Callithrix jacchus: one gene and its partners. The protein of the gene in region 2 interacts with the protein of the main gene of each other region in a biochemical or structural test. Links are inferred from orthologs where the notes say so. Each region holds a gene or a part of one and is shown on either strand. Other genes may lie near its edges.

Evidence for each region.
Region 1: the proteins of S100A6 (region 2) and CACYBP are reported together in a solved structure, tested with the Homo sapiens proteins (2 studies listed by BioGRID and IntAct, with this or other methods). The link is inferred for Callithrix jacchus from reciprocal best matches to the Homo sapiens genes S100A6 and CACYBP.
Region 3: the proteins of S100A6 (region 2) and CEP43 form a complex in vitro, tested with the Homo sapiens proteins (2 studies listed by BioGRID and IntAct, with this or other methods). The link is inferred for Callithrix jacchus from reciprocal best matches to the Homo sapiens genes S100A6 and CEP43.

The regions. Positions count from the first base shown.
Region 1 is NC_133519.1:28,148,472-28,154,536, forward strand, and holds part of CACYBP (calcyclin-binding protein), read right to left. Parts: intron 3,540-6,065; coding exon 3,320-3,539; intron 517-3,319; coding exon 420-516; intron 159-419; coding exon 59-158; intron 1-58. UniProt on the Homo sapiens protein: May be involved in calcium-dependent ubiquitination and subsequent proteasomal degradation of target proteins. Probably serves as a molecular bridge in ubiquitin E3 complexes. Participates in the ubiquitin-mediated degradation of beta-catenin (CTNNB1).
Region 2 is NC_133519.1:13,945,838-13,951,918, forward strand, and holds S100A6 (protein S100-A6), read right to left. Parts: upstream 2,962-6,081; 5' UTR 2,919-2,961; intron 2,357-2,918; 5' UTR 2,321-2,356; coding exon 2,183-2,320; intron 1,594-2,182; coding exon 1,459-1,593; 3' UTR 1,359-1,458; downstream 1-1,358. UniProt on the Homo sapiens protein: May function as calcium sensor and modulator, contributing to cellular calcium signaling.
Region 3 is NC_133505.1:173,674,158-173,680,222, reverse strand, and holds part of CEP43 (centrosomal protein 43), read right to left. Parts: coding exon 6,006-6,065; intron 3,826-6,005; coding exon 3,713-3,825; intron 3,077-3,712; exon of another isoform or gene 2,956-3,076; coding exon 2,887-2,955; exon of another isoform or gene 1,088-2,886; intron 1-1,087. UniProt on the Homo sapiens protein: Required for anchoring microtubules to the centrosomes. Required for ciliation.

The DNA of each region.
Region 1 (6,065 bases), about 14 Mb from region 2:
CAGCCAGGTTCAATTTAGGAAGGTTTCACAACAGTATGACCAAATAAAGCACACTTACTTTTTTGGAACTGCCTTCCACAGAGATGGGTTTCAAGAGATTGTTCACAATCATGGAGTAACTCTTCCCATTTAGATTCTTTACCAAAAGATCAAATGACCTGCAACAAAATGGGGAATATGATCTTTCCAGTTCTACGAAAGGCACTCCATAGTTCTTGTGGAAAAAAAAGCCACTGGTTTTATTTCAGGGTGTGTGTTTGGCCATTCCAGATGATTTTAACGCTTACCTTCTCAAAGTAGTTGTAAAGATTAATTCTCAATTTAAGAAGGATTTTACTAACTGCAAAGAAGAGAGTCCCAAGATGAGGCAATGTTGACTGTTAATGATCGCTGTCTTCCCGATTATAATGAGAACTCACCTCTCTGTGAAATGCACCTGCACATTCTCAGTGGGAACTTGATGAACTCCAGTTAAGGTAATGTAGATTTTCACAAACTTATCTGACTGATCCCATCCTGGCAACAACAAAAGATGGAACGCAAGTAAGTCTCTCAAACTATATCTACCAACAGCAAATGCACATGGCTCAAATTTCAGGAAAGTAAAAATATGGAAATCCAGTCATATAAACATGAAAAAATTTGAAATCTAAGAAATTTTCAAGGTTGAGAAATGGAGCCTCAAAGCAGCTAAGTACTACCCAAAGTTAGGCATCTAACAAGTGCCAGACTAATTCAGATTCAAATCCAGGTTTCTGAACACAAAGCCTATGCTCTTTTTATCCCTTAGAATAAAAATATGATCACTAAATACATTTTTAAAGACTAGTTCATTTACCATTTTTATGGAAATAATTTTGTCCTACATCTAAATATTGGTAGTTCTCCACTTAGCTGGATGGCTAAAGTCTAATTCCGTATCATTTCTACTTCTCTAAGTAGTCTAACAAATGCAATCCTAGCTCCCTTAATTTCTTTCCAGGGCAGAACAATGTAAAAGACTCCCAATTCTTCATCCAAATCTGACATACCTACCAGTATCTATTAAATGCTATTTCAGTATGTATTATCAAACTACCAACAAGTCTCTAACCTAGAGGAACTCTGTCGACGTAAAAGACATATAAACTTCACAAAATACCATCTCATTTGTAGAAAATAAAAAGCTTCGTAAAAAAGTCGTCTGTTTATCAAGTATATGTACACATCCCTAACTGGTCCTCACTTAGTCCTACAGAATAAAAACATGCCCCATTCTCCATGACGTTTTTCACACTGCAAGCCTATATCAAAATGGCTCATGTACCCCATAAATATATACAACTACTGTGTACCTACGAAAATTATAAAGAAACATAGTGTTAATCCAATGCCCTGAGGGTTTCAGAGAACTTCATTTATTAATAGTTTCTTCCCATTCAGTCAGTCCATCCTCTGGATTGACAATACTTCTCCCTCAACACATTTCTATGTTCCTGCTTAAAATACCATAATCCTAAACACCTTCAGATCAGTTTTCTATACTCAACTGAGCACACAGTACAATTTCCTATAGTACTATACAGTACATTTCTTAGGCATTCTGGCTTGATACTAGCAACCTGACCAAAAAAATCATGTGTCATAGCTTGATTATATAAAGCTCAATTAAAAAAAAATCTTTAAGTACTTAATAACTCAATATCAGGGCCAGGCGTGGTGGTTCATGCCTGTAATTCCAGCACTTTGGGAGGCTCAGGCGGGTGGATCACCTGAGGTTGGGAGTTCGAGACCAGCCTAACCAACATGGAGAAACCCAGTCTCTATTAAATATACAAAATTATCCAGGCATGGTGGCACATGGTTGTAATCCCAGCTACTCGGGAGGCTGAGGCAGAAGACTCGCTTGAACCCAGGAGGCAGAGGTTGCAGTGAGCAGAGATCATGCCATTGCACCCTAACCTGGGCAACAAGAGTGAAACTCCGTCTCAAAAAAAAAAACAACAAAACTCAGTATCAGAAGCACGACAGTTTGAAAGTCTTTCTTAATAGTCTTATAAAATGCAGTAACAGAACTACTAATGCTTTTCCTTTACTACAAGTCTTTTATCTCATTTAACTCAGATACCCTAGTTTTGCCTATCTTTAACAGACGACACAGTATAAAAAGTTCAACTCTGGCCGGGTGGAGTGGCTCACACCTGTAATCCCAGCCCTTTGGGAGGTCAAGGCCAGTGGATCCACTGGAGGTCAGGAGTTTGAAACCAGCATACACATGCTTTTCACTATACCAATATTCCATATATATCATGCCTTCCAACTCTTCCTCTGCTCATGCTGCTCCCTTTTCAACTTACTGAATATACAACTCACCCTTCACATTCAAATCTAATTTTCCCCGTTTCTCACCTCCAGAATTATTTCCTGAGCTATATTACCCACTATGTACTAGACACTATGAGCACAAAGAAAAAAAAGACTGTCCTTGCTCTCATGAGAGCTGATCACTCATATTCAAGTTGTACTGCCGCCAAAACAAAAAGCTGAATACACCACTGAAGGAAAGTGTTACTACATTGTTATAGTGTGAGTTATATGTCTGTGTCCCAACCACACCATGAGCAAGGACTGGGTCTTAGTCACTCTTGTGTATCCTTAAGTCCAAGCACAATAGTGATACACAGTAAGTGCTCAAAAACATTTATTGAATTTAACTGGATTCCTCTCCTCAGTTAATTGAGGTGGCTGTCAGAGTGCAACGTAAAACATTAAAAACCACCACCACTGCAGTGCCTCATATATACTGAACAATTTCAGAGTAAGTTGCTTCGTTGTTGCTATTCATCTTTGCACTGAATCACCTTATTGTTAACATCTTTTGTAAATTATCCCTTCCTATTTATTAAATAAAAACTGATGGGTCTTCCTCCAAGCCACCAAAAACGCACACAGAAAGCTCTTTTAAAGATAAATTTGGCCGGGCACGGTGTCTCACGCCTGTAATCCCAGCACTCTGGGAGGCCAAGGCGGGTGGATCACGAGGTCAAGAGATCGAGACCATCCTGGTCAACAAGGTGAAACCCCATCTCTACAAAAAATTAGCTGGGCATGGTGGCACGTGCCTGTAATCCCAGCTACTCAGGAGGCTGAGGCAGGAGAATTGCCTGAACCCAAGAGGCAGAGGTTGCAGTGAGCTGAGATCGCGCCATTGCACTCCAGCTGGGTAACGAGCGAAACGCCGTCTCAAAATAAATAAATAAATAAATAAAAATTTGTTACTAGATCACTATGAGGAATAGGTTGATCGGAGGCAGAACTGGTCTAGGGAAGCAAATCATACCATAATTACTGATTTTCACTGTATAGCCTGTTGTAATGGGAGCAACCACAGCAGCTGGCTTTTCATTTTCAAGAAGCTCTGCTTTCTTCTGTGATTTCTGTTGCATCTTGTTCTTGATTTCTGTCTCAATCTTGGATTTTTCAGCTGTAAGGGCATCTCGTATTCTTTTCCTAGTAGTCTTTTCCAGCAACACCTTTACCTCTTCTAGATCTTTCTGTAGCTGTGTTAAGACAAAAAATAAGTTAGCTATGATAAATAAGGCTATGGTTTTCTATTGTGCTTATCACTCATTTCAACTTACTGAAATAAGCACTAAGAATTAAGAGGTTCATCTAAATTTTCTAGGATTGAGTTGCAACTTCAATTCTTTCCTCTGGCTTATTAACTATAATTAACTCAAGCTTCCTTTTTTTTTAAAGGAAAACTTTGAACAATCTTGAACAAACAATAGGTAATCAAACCTAGTTTCCAGTTTGTATTTAAAATATTTACAAGACACATCTGCAACTTAGAAATTTTTTTTAACAAGGTGTTCATAGATTTCCTTGTAACATCTAATCCTAGTATCATTAGATGTTAAGACACTTTAAAAATATTTAAGAGATGAGAGAACATGCAGTGTAATACAGCATGGTAATATAGCAACTTTACTGAGGTAATGAATACTCTACTTTCTGTCACTGACTGGTCTTCATTATCTTCCCACCTCAAATACCTCACATAAAAAAAGTCTAAAGTTTTCAGACTAAAGATTTTTAAAAACAAATTTCTGCTTTTAAGGAAAAGTCTTGTTCTGAAGCTGGGTCTTACAGTCAGAAGTGTAGGAGTTGGGTGCACAGGTGACAAAAAACCCAAAATGCAACCTACTCTTGGAAATTATCTTTTGAAAAAGCCACCAAGTTCTTGTTTTCTTTTTATGCCAATCCATCATCTACTAAAGTCTACTACTTTTTACTTTCTAGAGATAGAGGCAACATTTTATGAAATTCAAGAGTTAAAGACAATGTTAGAAAATTATTGAGCCTAAGTTTTTTTCCCTAATTACCCTCTGACATACTGCAAATGCACAAGATCTTTCCAAACAGGTGATTCGCTTTTCTTACAATGACTTTTACATTCTGGCTGGATACTACCAACTTGACCAAAAAATCTTCTGTCACAGCTTGATTATGTCAGAAGCTCAATTTAAAAAAATCTTTAAGTGTTTGATAACTCAGAATAGCCAGGTGCAGTGGCTCACACCTATAATCCCAGCACTTTGGGAGGCCGAGGCGGGTGGATCATGAGGTCAAGAGATCAAGACCATCCTGGTTATTAGCAAGGTGAAACCCCATCTCTACTAAAAATACAAAAATTAGCTGGGCGTGGTGGTGCGTGCCTGTAGTTCCCAGTTACTCAGGAGGCTGAGGCAGGAGAATTGCCTGAACCCAGGAGGCGGAGGTTGCGGTGAGCTGAGATCGTGCCATTGCACTCCAGTCTGGGTAACAACAGCGAAACTCCGTCTCAAAAAAAATAAAATAAATAACTCGGAATATCAGAAACACAACAGTTTGAAAGCCTTTCTTAGTCATAAAATGCAGTAACAGAACTACCCATTCTTTTCTTTTACTACAAGTCTTTTATTTAATTCAGAGGCCCTAGTTTTGCCTAACTATAACAGATGACATAGTATAAAAAGTTCAACTCTAGCTAGGTGCAGTGGCTCCAGCACTTTGGGAGGTTGAGGCCGGTGGATCGCTGGAGGTCAGGAGTTCGAGACCAGCCTGACCAACATGGCAAAACCCTGTCTCTACTAAAAATACAAAAATTAACCAGCGTGGTGGCACATGACTGTAATCCCAGCTACTCAGGAAGCCAAAGCAGGAGAATCACTTGAACCCGGGTGGCAGAGGTTGCAGTGAGCCAAGATCACGCCATTTGCACTCCAGCCTGGACAACAAGAGCAAAACCCCGACTCAAAAAAAAAAAAAAAAAAAAAAGTTCAACTCTGCTCCACCCTCCTGTCCACCCTCAGACCCTTCCAAGAGCGGTTCATACTACCATGACAAAAAATTCTGCAAACTCATCTTTTGAGCCTAGAACTAAGATGTTTTGGTTCAAAGTAATATTTTTATTGTAATAGTTCCAAAAATTCATGCTGATTCCAAAATTCCTAATTCATAAAAATATTGAAATGTAAAATGAAATGTAACAAGCCTAAACAAGAAATTCTGATTTTTGACTGGAATAGGAATGCTTTTTCTAGCAGAATCAGAAAAGTACTTCAAATTAGGCAAGAGATTCCCCCAATGGCTGAATTCCCAAGCCTCTTTATTGCCAGTTTGGCTGTAATCTTTTTATTGTAAGGTATGCACTTAAGAAATTTACAACTGAAACAGTTCCTCAGTTCTGCTGTTTGCAGATTTGAAACCTTCCTGCACAAATCCTTTAACATGTCCTAGATAGAGTAGTTTCTCATCTAGTTTATCATGGAATTTTCCTTGCCTTCTTGGCATGTATTTGTTTTACCTATATAAAAATTCTATTTTTCTTTTATCCCTATCCATAACGCATTCAAGCTTTACCTATTTCCTAATTCTTCACCTAGGAGGCATTAACACCAATGTGCCTCAAAAATGGGCAAAGGAATTCAACACACATTTCTCACAGAAATGGACACCAAGCACATTAAAGATGCTCAACATCCTCATCAAATCCCTAAGATGCCACTTCACACCCACTAGGATGGTATCATAAACCAAAAAAG
Region 2 (6,081 bases):
AAGTCTGTCTTCTTCCTAAGGACTCCCTGACTGCCAGGCCACCGCCCCACCGCCAGAGACTCAGAAACCAACCCGGACGTCCCCGCGGCGTCCTGCTCTCTGTCCACCACAGGAGGGCGCTCGCTCCGAGCCCCAAGTTGTCTGCAGCTGGAAGGCGGGCGGCGAGGGGCGGGGAGGAAAGGGGAGGACAGCGGCTTAGGGCGGGGACCTAGCGGGCGCCAGAGGAGTTGGGAAGCGAGTACTTTTCCAGCGGGAGCTGAATAGAGCCAAGGCTTGGGCACGTTTGTGCAGTGGGGGCGTTCGGCCCCCGCCCCTCCGCCCGCCGTCTCCTGTAGCCAACAGCCCGACTTCTCCCAGCAGGGCAGGGAGGCAATAGAGAAGGTGCGGCTCCCAGTTGTTTACCAATCCCCACCCAGTGGAGACAGAAGACAACTTAATTCCACAAAGCTGGGTCCCCAAGGAAAGCGGGGAGGTGAGAGGGAAAGAAGGATGTGGTCTCCATCTGAAGTCAAGATCTCTTCCCCAAGAGCTAGAGGAGAACTTGCCCCCGCTCAGACCAGGTCTAGAGAGGCTGAATGATGTGGCATCACCCTGAAACAGCGTTTACCCCCCTTATCCCCTTCCCTCCTGCCTGAAACACTAATGAAGACGATGAACAATAATTCAATTTAGTCATCTTCTCTGATGGGGGCTGAGGTCCAGGCGAGGCTCCCGTGGAACCTCCGGGTGAGTCATCATCTTGAGGCTGCAGGGACACCCCACCCCATTACTGGGCTCCCCGTGGTTCACGTGTTGGTGCAGCTGCCAGCTCCTGAGACCACCGTCCCAACAAAGAGTCCCCATCCCTGAACGCGGGGAAGCACCTAGAGCATGCCTCCCTACTCCACCGGTACCTGGGCAGCCGCAGTAGACTGTCACACAGCGTCCTCACTGGTCTGGAAAACTCCCTGAGGCAAACCTCAGTCATCTCAGATGTGTCCTCTCTGCCCACTGCACTGTGGTGAGAAAGGGAACTTGCCCCACCCCAGGGCCCCTCTTGCCACACCCAGCGCAAAACACATCTGGGAGCCTCTGGGACTATCTCTGCTCCCAGACCCATCACAGCCCAGTCCAGGAATCATTTCCATCTCTAAGCTCATCCCAGGACCCTCTCCAACCCAAGAGGGGCATCTCTCCTCATTCACATAAAGGCACCTAATGTGCTAGCGGTGGCCTTGTCAGGGTGGGTCCCCCAGCCTAGCGAGTCAGTGAGTCATTTTCAGAGGTTGATGGTGAGCAAATCTTCGGATGGCTGGTGCCCCACTACGTCAAGGAAGCCCGGGAGGAACAGAAATCATTTGGAAGCCAGGACACAAGGGGAAATTTGACCCCAAAAAAGTTTATTGTATAATTACCCACCACTGGATTTGACTCAGAGGGGACCCCCAGAGGTGTCTTCACCTTCCTCCCACTTTATTTTCAGCCCTTGAGGGCTTCATTGTAGATCAAAGCCAAGGCCCCCAGGAAGGTGACATACTCCTGGAAGTTCACCTCCTGGTCCTTGTTCCGGTCCAAGTCGTCCATCAGCCTTGCAATTTCAGCATCCTGCAGCTTCTAATGTGATAGAATGTGAAATCCAGACTCAGGGGTGATGACAACCCTGGATTCTTGTCCTTCCCCCTCCCAGGCCCCCCTCTCTGCAAGTGGCTCTGTGCATCTTTGTCTCCAAGGACCTATGTCCACCTTGGGCTTCACTTTGGCATTACATATCCTCAGCTACTCCTCAGCCGCTGGTCCTCACCTGGAGGGATGGTCATCAGGCTGGGAGTATCCCCTACCCGCTGTGGGAGTAGTTCTACAGCTCAGTAAGACATGTGGAGCAGGGCCTCCGAATGTGGGTAAATGTGAGTCAGACATCAGCCTGGGAGCATCCCCTACCCGCTGTGGGAGTAGTTCTACAGCTCAGTAAGACATGTGGAGCAGGGCCTCCGAATGTGGGTAAATGTGAGTCAGACATCAGCCTGGGAGCATCCCCTACCCGCTGTGGGAGTAGTTCTACAGCTCAGTAAGACATGTGGAGCAGGGCCTCCGAATGTGGGTAAATGTGAGTCAGACATACCTGGCACCTCTCCCTCCCCTAATCCTGCTTCCAACGAACAACAGTGGGAAGAGGAAGAGGGGCCCTGGGGTGGAGGCCACTCACCGAGCCAATGGTAAGCTCCTTCTGGATCAGCTCCTTCAGCTCCTTCTTGCTCAGGGTGTGCTTGTCACCCTCCCTGCCAGAGTACTTGTGGAAGATGGCCACGAGGAGGCCGATGGCCTGATCCAGGGGGCATGCCATTGCTGAGGGCTGGGCTTGGAGCTGGCAGCAGAGGCCCTGGTCAGTGCCGTGGGAGCAAAGACTTCTCACCCACACACCCCAATAACACTGCCAGCACTAGCCCCGACCACTCAGTCTCAGATCACACACAATGGCATGAGGAGACAGCCCAGGGCTTGAAGGGGAAGGAGAGGGCAGACTAGGGCCAAGGCAGGAGAGGTGGCTTAAGGATTCTAAGAATCATATAGGAACAGCAGCTTTGGGCACCGCTGAGAACTGTCCTTTAGGGGATCCAGAAGTTATGGAGTATGGCTGGGCAGGGGAGGGGGATGGAGGCTGCACAGGAGGCCCTAAGCACAGCCTCGCAGGGCCACACATGGTGGCAGTGACACACCCAAGGCACTCCCTTCCACACCCCAAAAGAGTACACCCCATTGGGATCCCTTAGCCCGGGGCCTGCCTGGCACAGCACTGCTGCTCCTGACTATCCCTCCAGCCGGGGAGGCCACAGATGGCCCCAGTCTGGATCCAGGGGCCAGGCTGGGCAGGGGGTGGCTGGACCCCCAGCGTGAGGGCAGCCGGCCCTGGAAAGTACCCAGGGCTCCTGGGGAGAACTCACCGGTAGCGAGGCTGCCAAATGCGACGGGAGCAATCGAGGGGATGGGCTGAGTCGCAATCCGGCTGGCCTTATAGCGGTCTGTGCCCGGGAGGCCGGCTCGGCCAAGCCCACCCCACCCACGCAGGTCCCGCCCGCGCCCCACCCCGCGCCGTGGCTTACACGACGCACACCCCGGTGTCCCCCCTCGACTTTCCACGCCTCCTGCCCGGGGCTGTTCTGGGTTAGGACGGGATAGGGGAGCCCAACAGAACCCACTGCACGCCTGGTGACGGGGAGTTTCCCCCAGCTGCGCAGCTCAACTCGTTCTTCATGACACGTGACCCGGCGAGGGGAGCAGGAGGAGGACGGCGGCGGTCACCCCTGCTTCCTCTGCCAGAGCGTGAATGTGACCCTCGAGTCTGCGCAGCCTCAATGTGGGCAGGGAGGGCGCCTCGCGGGATGCCGGTGTCCCGCAGAGGATACTCAGGGTCACCCCACAGGAGAGAGGGGGAGTAGCCAGCGGTCGGTCTAAGGATGTCTGCAGCACCCACCCCCCACCAGCAACAAGTCCTACCTACACCTCCAGCCTTCCCCTCACTGCCCCAAATTCCATTCACGACAGCACCTTGCGTTAATGCGTGCAGGCAGGAGCCCAGCCCTGTAAGCACCATTCCTAGTGAAAGCCTTTTCAGAGCCTCCCCTGAGAAAAGATTTTGATAAGGGAGGTAGGGAGAGGGGAAAGGGTTGGCCCCCAGAGATGATGAGCGGGGCGCTGCTGAAGGGGAAATGGAGGAGAGGGAGGGGCTGGATGAGACGCAGACTTGCCCTTCCTACCAGTGCTGCCAGGGTGGCCTCCCCTGAGCTCTGAAGTCAAGCCTGCCTGCCCATCACGGCCCTCAGGAGCCACTCCCAGCCCCTCCCAGTGTCCTCCTCTCCAACCAACTTTCTCTCTTTGCTTCCTCTGCGTCCTCGCAGAGTTCCTGCCTGGCCTGACTTCCCCAGGAGGGCAAAACTAAACCAGGACAAGACCAATGACGTCCACACCGAAGGAGAGGAAAGGAGTGGGAGCCCAGGACCCTGACCCCCAGAGACAGAGGCTGTCTCAACCCACTCAAGGGGAGACCCCCCTCCTTGCTCCCCTTTCCCCAGGCCAAGGTAGACCAGACATCTTCAAAACCAGACTCCCAGCACCTGTGATGGAAACTTTATTTCCTCCTGTGGAAGGGTCCATCGGGGAGGAGAGGAGGGCAGGGGACCAAAGAGGGGCCGTGACAGGAGCAGCCAAGGTCAGCGGCAAGGGACACAGGGTGAGGGTGGAGGGCATCCCGAGTCACTTGCTGTCCTCCAGGAAGAAGTCATTGTAGGCCATACACAGCGTGGTCAGGAACACCTAGTACTCCTTGAAGTCGATCTCCCGGTCGCTGTTCTTGTCCAGGCTCTTCATCAAGTCATCGATGCTGCTCTCCTTCATCTTCTTCACAGACCAGGTGGAGGGACAGCTCAGACCCCACTCCCCACCCTGCCCTCCCACCACCGCATGGTGTCACCCCCCTCAAAGCCTCAGGGTGAGCCTCAGGTGAGTCAGGATCTCAACCCCCAAAGTCTGCCCGCTGCCCACACCTAGGGAAGGGCCTGGCACCAGGTAGGGGAAGAGAAACCTGACTCCTGAATGGAAATAAATGACAGCAGGAACGCTGGCCTAGCCTGCCTTTCTCGAAACACTATCCGCCAGCAACAGAAACAATCGTCTAGGTTTCATACCAACACCTGATAAAAACAGCTCAGCGGCTCTCGCCTATAATCCCAGCACTTCGGGAGGCCAAGGTGGGTGGGTCACCTGACATCAGGAGTTCGAGACCAGCCTGACCAACATGGTGAAACCCTCTCTCTACTAAAAATACAAAATTAGCCAGGCGTGGTGGTACATGCCTGTAATCCCAGCTACTTGGGAAGCTGAGGCAGGAGAATCACTTGAACTTGAGAGGCAGAGGTTGCAATGAGTGAGATCATGCCATTGCACTCCAGCATGGGCAACAAGATCAAAACTCCATCTCAGAAAAAAAAAAAGCAAAAAAAACCATCTTGCTGATTGTGTGGCACTGAGCGTTATCCAAGTCTCTGACTGACTCTCTCCTCATTCTAAGGTCTAGCTGAGAATGAGCCCAGACAAAGTGTCTCTCAATGAGAGCAGTGCATTGGGGCTGTGGAGCCACTGTATCCCTCCCTTGCTAGGAGAGCCGTAAAAGAGGCCTGCCTGGAGCCTGGAGCCTGGTTGTGCACTCTTGCCTGGCCCCCTGACATCCCAGCCCGGCTCCACCAGAATGATGGAGTCAGGGTCCTTTGGGTGGAACAGGAAGAAAATACAGATAGGCAGATCCTGCCGTCTCCTCATCACTGCCGTCAGCTACAGGTTTTCCTGGAGACAGGATGTTGGGACTTACAGAGGTGGAACCTACTTGAATGTGACATGACCCTAGACCCCAGCCCGGGCTCCAGTTGTTGCCAGGCCCTCCCCAGGCATCTCTCCTCTGTAATTAACCCCTGCTGGACCCCGGGCCCCTCCCTCTGCCCTCATTAACTCCAGGAAGCAGGGAGCCTGGCAGAAGGCCAGAGATCAGGCCTGGAGACGCCCGCACCTGCTTCTGTCCCCTGCCCATGTGGCACACTGTGAACTTTCTGGGAGGGCCTACCAGGGCTCAAGGTGTGATAGATGGAGAGGCCCCAGGCTAAACTGTAAAGGAAACAGGGGCCGGGCGTGGTGGCTCACGGCTGTAATCCAACACTTTGGAGGCCAAGGCAGGCGGATCACCTGAGGTCGGGAGTTCAAGATCAGTCTGACCGACATGGTGAGACCCTGTCTTAAAAAAAAAAAAAAAAAAGGAAACAGGGAGATTGGTTCCCAGGCCTGGCCCAGAACACCGGCTCAGCCTCCCACTAGCAGGGTGTCGTTAGACAAGTTATTTGATATATTCGAGCACCGATTTGTTTTAACTGTAAAAATAATAAGACTAAGCACAGTGACTCATGCCTGTAATTTCAGCACTTTGGGAGGCCGAGGCGATAGGATCATTTGAGGACAGGAGTTCAAGAACGGCCTGGGCAACATAGCAAGACCCCATCTCTACAAAAAAATTAAAAATTATCTGAGTGTGGCGGCGCTAGCCTGGAGTCCCAGCTTCTCAGG
Region 3 (6,065 bases), on a different chromosome or scaffold from region 2:
TGGCCCAGACTTCCCAGCAACCTTATGCTTTCCTTACTTTCATTCTTGCCTCTGGCTGATGCCCTGCTTTTGTTCAGCCTGTGAACTAAGAATGGCTTCTACATTTTTTAAAGATTGTTAAAAAAACAAAGACTTTGTGAGAGACAGTACATGTCATCCGCAAAGCCCAAAATATAGACCATTTGGCCCTTTATAGAAAAGGCTTATCAACTCTTGCTTCAAATATGCAAAGTACCTATTTATTTTATTTTTGAGACGGAGTCTTGCTCTGTCGCTCAGGCTGCAGTGCAGTGGCATGATCTCCCTCAGTTCAAGTGCCTCTCCTACCTCAGCCTTCCGAGTAGCCAGGATTACAGGCTCGTGCCACCACACCCTGCTAATTTTTTTTGTATTTTTAGTAGAGACGGGTTTCACCGTGTTAGCCAGGATGGTCTAGATCTCCTGACCTCATGATCCGCCCGCCTCGGCCTCCCAAAGGCCTCCCTGGGATTACAGGCATGAGCCACCGTGTCTGGCCACAAAATACCTATTCATAAACACTCCATTTGGGCACCTTTAATTAATATTTGTCTGCCAAAATAAAACAGATTGTGCGCTAAAGCTTTCTTTGTAGATGATTTCTTTGGAACTCAGAATGTATTTTCCCATTGAAATGATTATTTAAATCCTGTCTAAGTAACAGACAGACAGTAAAACACAGTGGTAAGGGCTCCGTGGGGATGCATCAGGACTCTAAAAGCAGCACGACCATGGGCAAGTTATTTAACCTAGGTTCTTCATCTGTAGAAATGGAGATAATAATAAAACCTACCTCATAGGCTATGAATTAAATAAAATAATTCCTTGGTACAGTGTAAAGCATTTATCACTAACATCATTATTATCCTAAGGTAGTCTAACATCTGTCTATATATTACTCAAAACACCTAGAGGACTGTATATTTAAAATGTAAAAAACCCAAATAGAAAACAACATTGTTGCAATATCAATCAAACATTCCACAAAACAAAGTAAAACTTTATTTCTACTGAATCCTAATGCCTAGCTAAATGACAAACATTCAGCTAGTAAACTGGTAGTTCTCACCTGCATAACTATCCAAATTCCAATCTGAAGTATACCTAAGTCCCAAGAAAAAGTGAAGGAGCACACCACCTTCCTGCCTGTACCCAGCACCTCTGCAGCGAGAGCGATCACCTTCCCTCCTAAGGATGAGAATTCTTAGCAGCTCCGCCTCAGAAGCTGGTGGGAAAACCTTCGCTTTGGTCAGAGAATAGAGCAGTCAGAGTGAAATGCTCAAAGGTTTGGCATCAAAGTGAAACACCACAAAAGAGAAAAAAACAGAACACGACGGGGACAGTGCAGCCGTCAGAATGCAGAGGTTGGAGTAAAGTCTCTGGAGGCAGTTAGCCATTGGTGTCAAGTGGAAAACAACATCTAATGGCAACCAGAACTCCCGCTGACAGGAAAAGCACAAGGGAAGGAGAGGGGGCAGGCCCATCTAGCTGGCCCGCCAGCCAGCAACCAGGGGACACAGAGCACAGGGTGGCATAATCAGCAAGTCAGCTGTTACCAGGACTCCAGGGCACTGTGTGGAACAAGAATCCAGGCAACTCAGGGGACATTTATTCTTCTGCAAATGCGGGAACAAAGTAACACAAAAGGGAAACTAACATTGACTAGGCACCTATCATGCCAGGCATTGTACCTTAATTTACATATGAAAAGGTATTTAAATCCTATTTGCTCTTTAAAACTAGGCAGATGTTATTAGTTCCACTTAACAGATGAGGAAATAGCAGTTTAGTTTACCTCCCTATGCTACCCCATCAATCAGTGCCACATCTGAGATGTTACTGCTACCCAACTCCAAGCCCAAGTTCTTTGCACTAACCAGAATGTCTCTCGTGAAGAGGGAAGGGTATTCTTGGTGCTGCCCCTCAGACAGGCCTGAGTTCTAAAAGCACATGGGGACACAGCTTTCTTTTTCCCCCAACCTGCTTGGGCAGCTGTGTTCCAATGCTTCCATGTCTAAGTGACTAAAGACCAGGAAGCGATCCCACCACATCCACAGAGAGCATAGGAAGTGGCCACTGAGAGCCTGGCTACACCATTTCCTTCAGGTCAGTGCCTGAGTTTGCCAAAAGTATGCCTGTTACCCTGCTACGGTCTTGCAACAGGAGACAGCACGGTTTGAGAACTGTGCTCTCAACATATGGCCCAGGGCTTGGTAATGTTCACACTGACACTCTTACCTCCATAAGAACGAATGTACTTACACGGCAGTCTCACCAACTTCTGCTCCATTGAACAGAACTGAACACATTTCACAATTTTTCTTTCAATAAGTCTTGTTTCCCCATTAGACTGAATTCTCTGAGGCCTGGACCATGTACTACTAGCATCTAGCAAACGGCTCTGCCTCTGCACAAGTTTTTCTCAGTCTGAAATTGAACAGAAATATCTTCCCTTCTCTTGTATACATCTACTTAACCATCAAGCCTCTGTACAGACATCACTTCCTCTAAGAGGTCTTCCCCGAATGTCAAGACTGGGCCAAGGTAACCTACTTGCCATTTCTATACCCATATATACTGACCCTTTTACACTCAAAATATCTGCAGATACCTGTTCAGTGTCCATATTCCTGACCAGAATTTAAACTCCATGAAGACAGAGGTTCATGAGGACATGATGGCTGTTGCTGGGGTCATCTCTGGCATAGGGCATAATCCTGAACATATGAAAGCCACCCAAACACCTGCTGAATGAACAGCAGCAGGAAGGTGCTCGGTGGAGGCAGACTGAGTCACTTCTTCTACAACCTTACCTTAAAAATAATTACTTTAAAACAATCAACACAAAAAAACTGGAAATCTAGTTACCTAATCCAAGGGATCCAATTTTATCACTGATCAATTTCAGATCTTTCAAAACTATATTCCCCCCTTTACCTGTGAACAGGAGAAGATATTATTAGAGTGACTCTTAGAATACAACAGTCTCTAAACCACATTAATTTTTGTTGTTGTTCAATATGGAGCTTCTTTATGACAGGTGCATAATAACCTAAAACTAAAGAAAAAATAAACTAAGATTAATGAATGCTTAAATTATGCATTACAACTCCTTTGAGATGGAATCTTGCTCTGTCACCCCAGGCTGGAGTGCAATGGTACGGTCTCAACTCACTGCAACCTCCGCCTTCTGGGTTCAAGCAATTCTCCCACCTCAGCCTCTCGAGTAGCTGGGACTACAGCTGTGTGTCACCGCACCCGGCTAATTTTTGTATTTTTAGTAGAGACTATGTTGGCCAGGCTGGTCTCAAACTGCTGACCTCATGATCCGTCCGCCTCGGCCTCCCAAAGTGCTGGGATTACAAGCATGAGCCACCATGCCCGGCCACAACCCTTTTAAAACCATAAACAATACTACTTTATTGGAACACAACCACCAAAAAAATGTTTTTGCCTAATTATAAGACATCACTTTCCTTAAGAAGCTCCATTAGGTATGAATTCAGACTACAATTAATTATTTTCATCAATTTTATTTTCCCTTTAAACTTCTAAATTTTTCTTCAATTCAACTGCTATTTCATATACTAAAGTGACATCCTCACTGGTTAGTCCTTCATTGTCAAGGTCCTCTAAATGCTTAATTAGAGAAATAATATCCTGAGTAATCACGCCCACATCTTTGGGCACTTACTCTCAGAGTCTTTTAAGGAAGGGGTTCCCACCAGGGAGCTGAGTCCACTTTTTAAGGGGGGTGCATCTGAGAGCGAGGCCAGGCTTCCTGCTTGTTTCCTCGGTTCATTCCTCCTAGCAGGAAACAAGTGACAGTGAAATAGTGCTCTGATGTTCTGCCACTAAACACTTTCATTCTGCCACTAAAACAAAAGCAACTTACGGCTGGAAATCAAGAATACACACTTTACAGATTCAAAACCATAAAGTATACCAAGGATATACCAAGTATGCCAAACTTTACGGTTTACCAAAGTACAGATCAACCACAATCAACACAGCCAGTGTGTAAGAAATCAGCTCACCTCTCTTTAGAATCCTCTTCACTGTGATTTTTCTCAAAAGCCCTTTCCATCACCCAGACATGCAACCAAGGGACAATACAGGAGTTTACTAGCAAATAAGTGCCACCTCTCTGATTAAATATCATTTACAGAAACCACAAACTGCCATGCTGATGAACTCCCCTTAAAGTCATGACTACTAACCTCAAGAGGACCTTTAATTCTGCCCAATAACCCTGCAGGTTTCCACAGTCTCTTCTTGCCTTACTTTCTTATAGAATGATTTCACACTTTCTCCACTCTCCTCCAATCTCTAACCTCCATCCTCCATCCTCACTCAACTATGAACTCAGATGAGAGCCTGCACAGGTGCTACCGTCATATCCACCCCCTGCCTGCAACGGGACACACACGCTCTACTTTTCTAGCAAACACAAGCCCCTACATGGGATTTATTGCTGCACAGCCCTCCATGAGTTCTTCTCTTACTCCCTTACATCATTAATTCTTCCACCTTTAAAGCTGAACAGCTCTCCTCAGCATATGAGCTGTTATTTCTCCCACTTAAAAGACGTTTTTAACCCTACATCCTGCCCCTCCAGCCACCATCCTGGTCCTCTGCATACTTTTACAACGCATCAGAAAACTACCTGCCATCTACAATCCTTTCCTCTCTGTCTTGAATGCACTCTAATTTTTTAACCTGCCTCGCACCTTCATTCCAACAAAACTAACTCTGTCAAGGTCGTCACCGACCTCCAGATGGCTAAATCCAATGGCTTCATACAGCTGCTCTTCCCTACTACCTCCTCCAAAGATACCACTTTCCTGGTTCTGTGTCCTCTGGCCTCAAGGTGCACAGGACCTGCTTCCTTGGTGATCCTCTGCCGTCTCCACACCCAACATTATCTACAAACTGATGACTCCTAATTTACATCTCCAGCCTAGATCTCTCCATCAATCCCAATTCATATACTCAATAGCCTTCTTCGGATTTCCACCAGCAATCTTCTCTAACTCAGCACAGCGACAGGGAGTGCCAGGCTGTCATGCCACCTGTCTGTGCATCTGCTCTTGCTCTTTCCACTCTTTATCTAACGTGTTTCCAACCTTCGAGTTATGCAGGCTAAAAACCATGGTATCACTCTGGCTACTACTTTTTTCTCTAGCACTTACTGGCAAATCCTTTCCCATCTAAACTCAAAATACTTCCAAAACCCACCTATTTCTCCCACCGCTTCTATCACTTCTCACCTGAATAATCATTAATGGCCTCCTACCTGGAAACCCCAAGTCCAACCCTGCCTAGCAACCTCAGGTTCTGTAATGTATGCTGGTTCAAGATCCCCAGGGTTTCCAGTCTCAAAGGAAAGCCGTCCAGCCCTCTCATCTCTGAGTCCACCTCATCGGATCCCATTCTCGCTCTCTCTGCTACACCCATACTCACCTCCCTGCTGTCTGCTGTTTCCTCTCCCCAGAGCTCTATCAACCCATGGCAACTCCCTTAACTCCTCTACCTCTTTGCTCACAGGACACCTCCAAGTGAGGCCCCCTCCGATTTGGACAGCTGACACACACCTGCCCTGACCACACACTTGGGCTCCCATCATTGCTCTGCTCTCGTCACCCCATACACCACAGCGTAACTCTCACTGCCTGTCTGACTCCATCACCAGAGCATGAGCTTCCTGAGGGTAGGCGTCTTCCCTCTTCCATCATTGCTACAACCCACCATGGAACAGTCCCTGGCATATGGCAGACACTCAATCTAACAGGTAAGAATAAATCATGTCTAGGTTTTTATAAAACCTGGGACTGTTTTATAACATAAAGGCATTAACAACACATAATCAGATTTATGGATCCAATAATTATAAACCATCCATAGTTCATTATTTTTTAACTATAAAATGAAAGCATTTATCTTGTTTTTAAACCCCTAGTCTCCCAGTTCAGAAACCGTTTACTTACAAACCATAAGTTTTCTCTGGCTTAGGGATGGGATCATCGAAGAAAGAATCTCCTTCCATA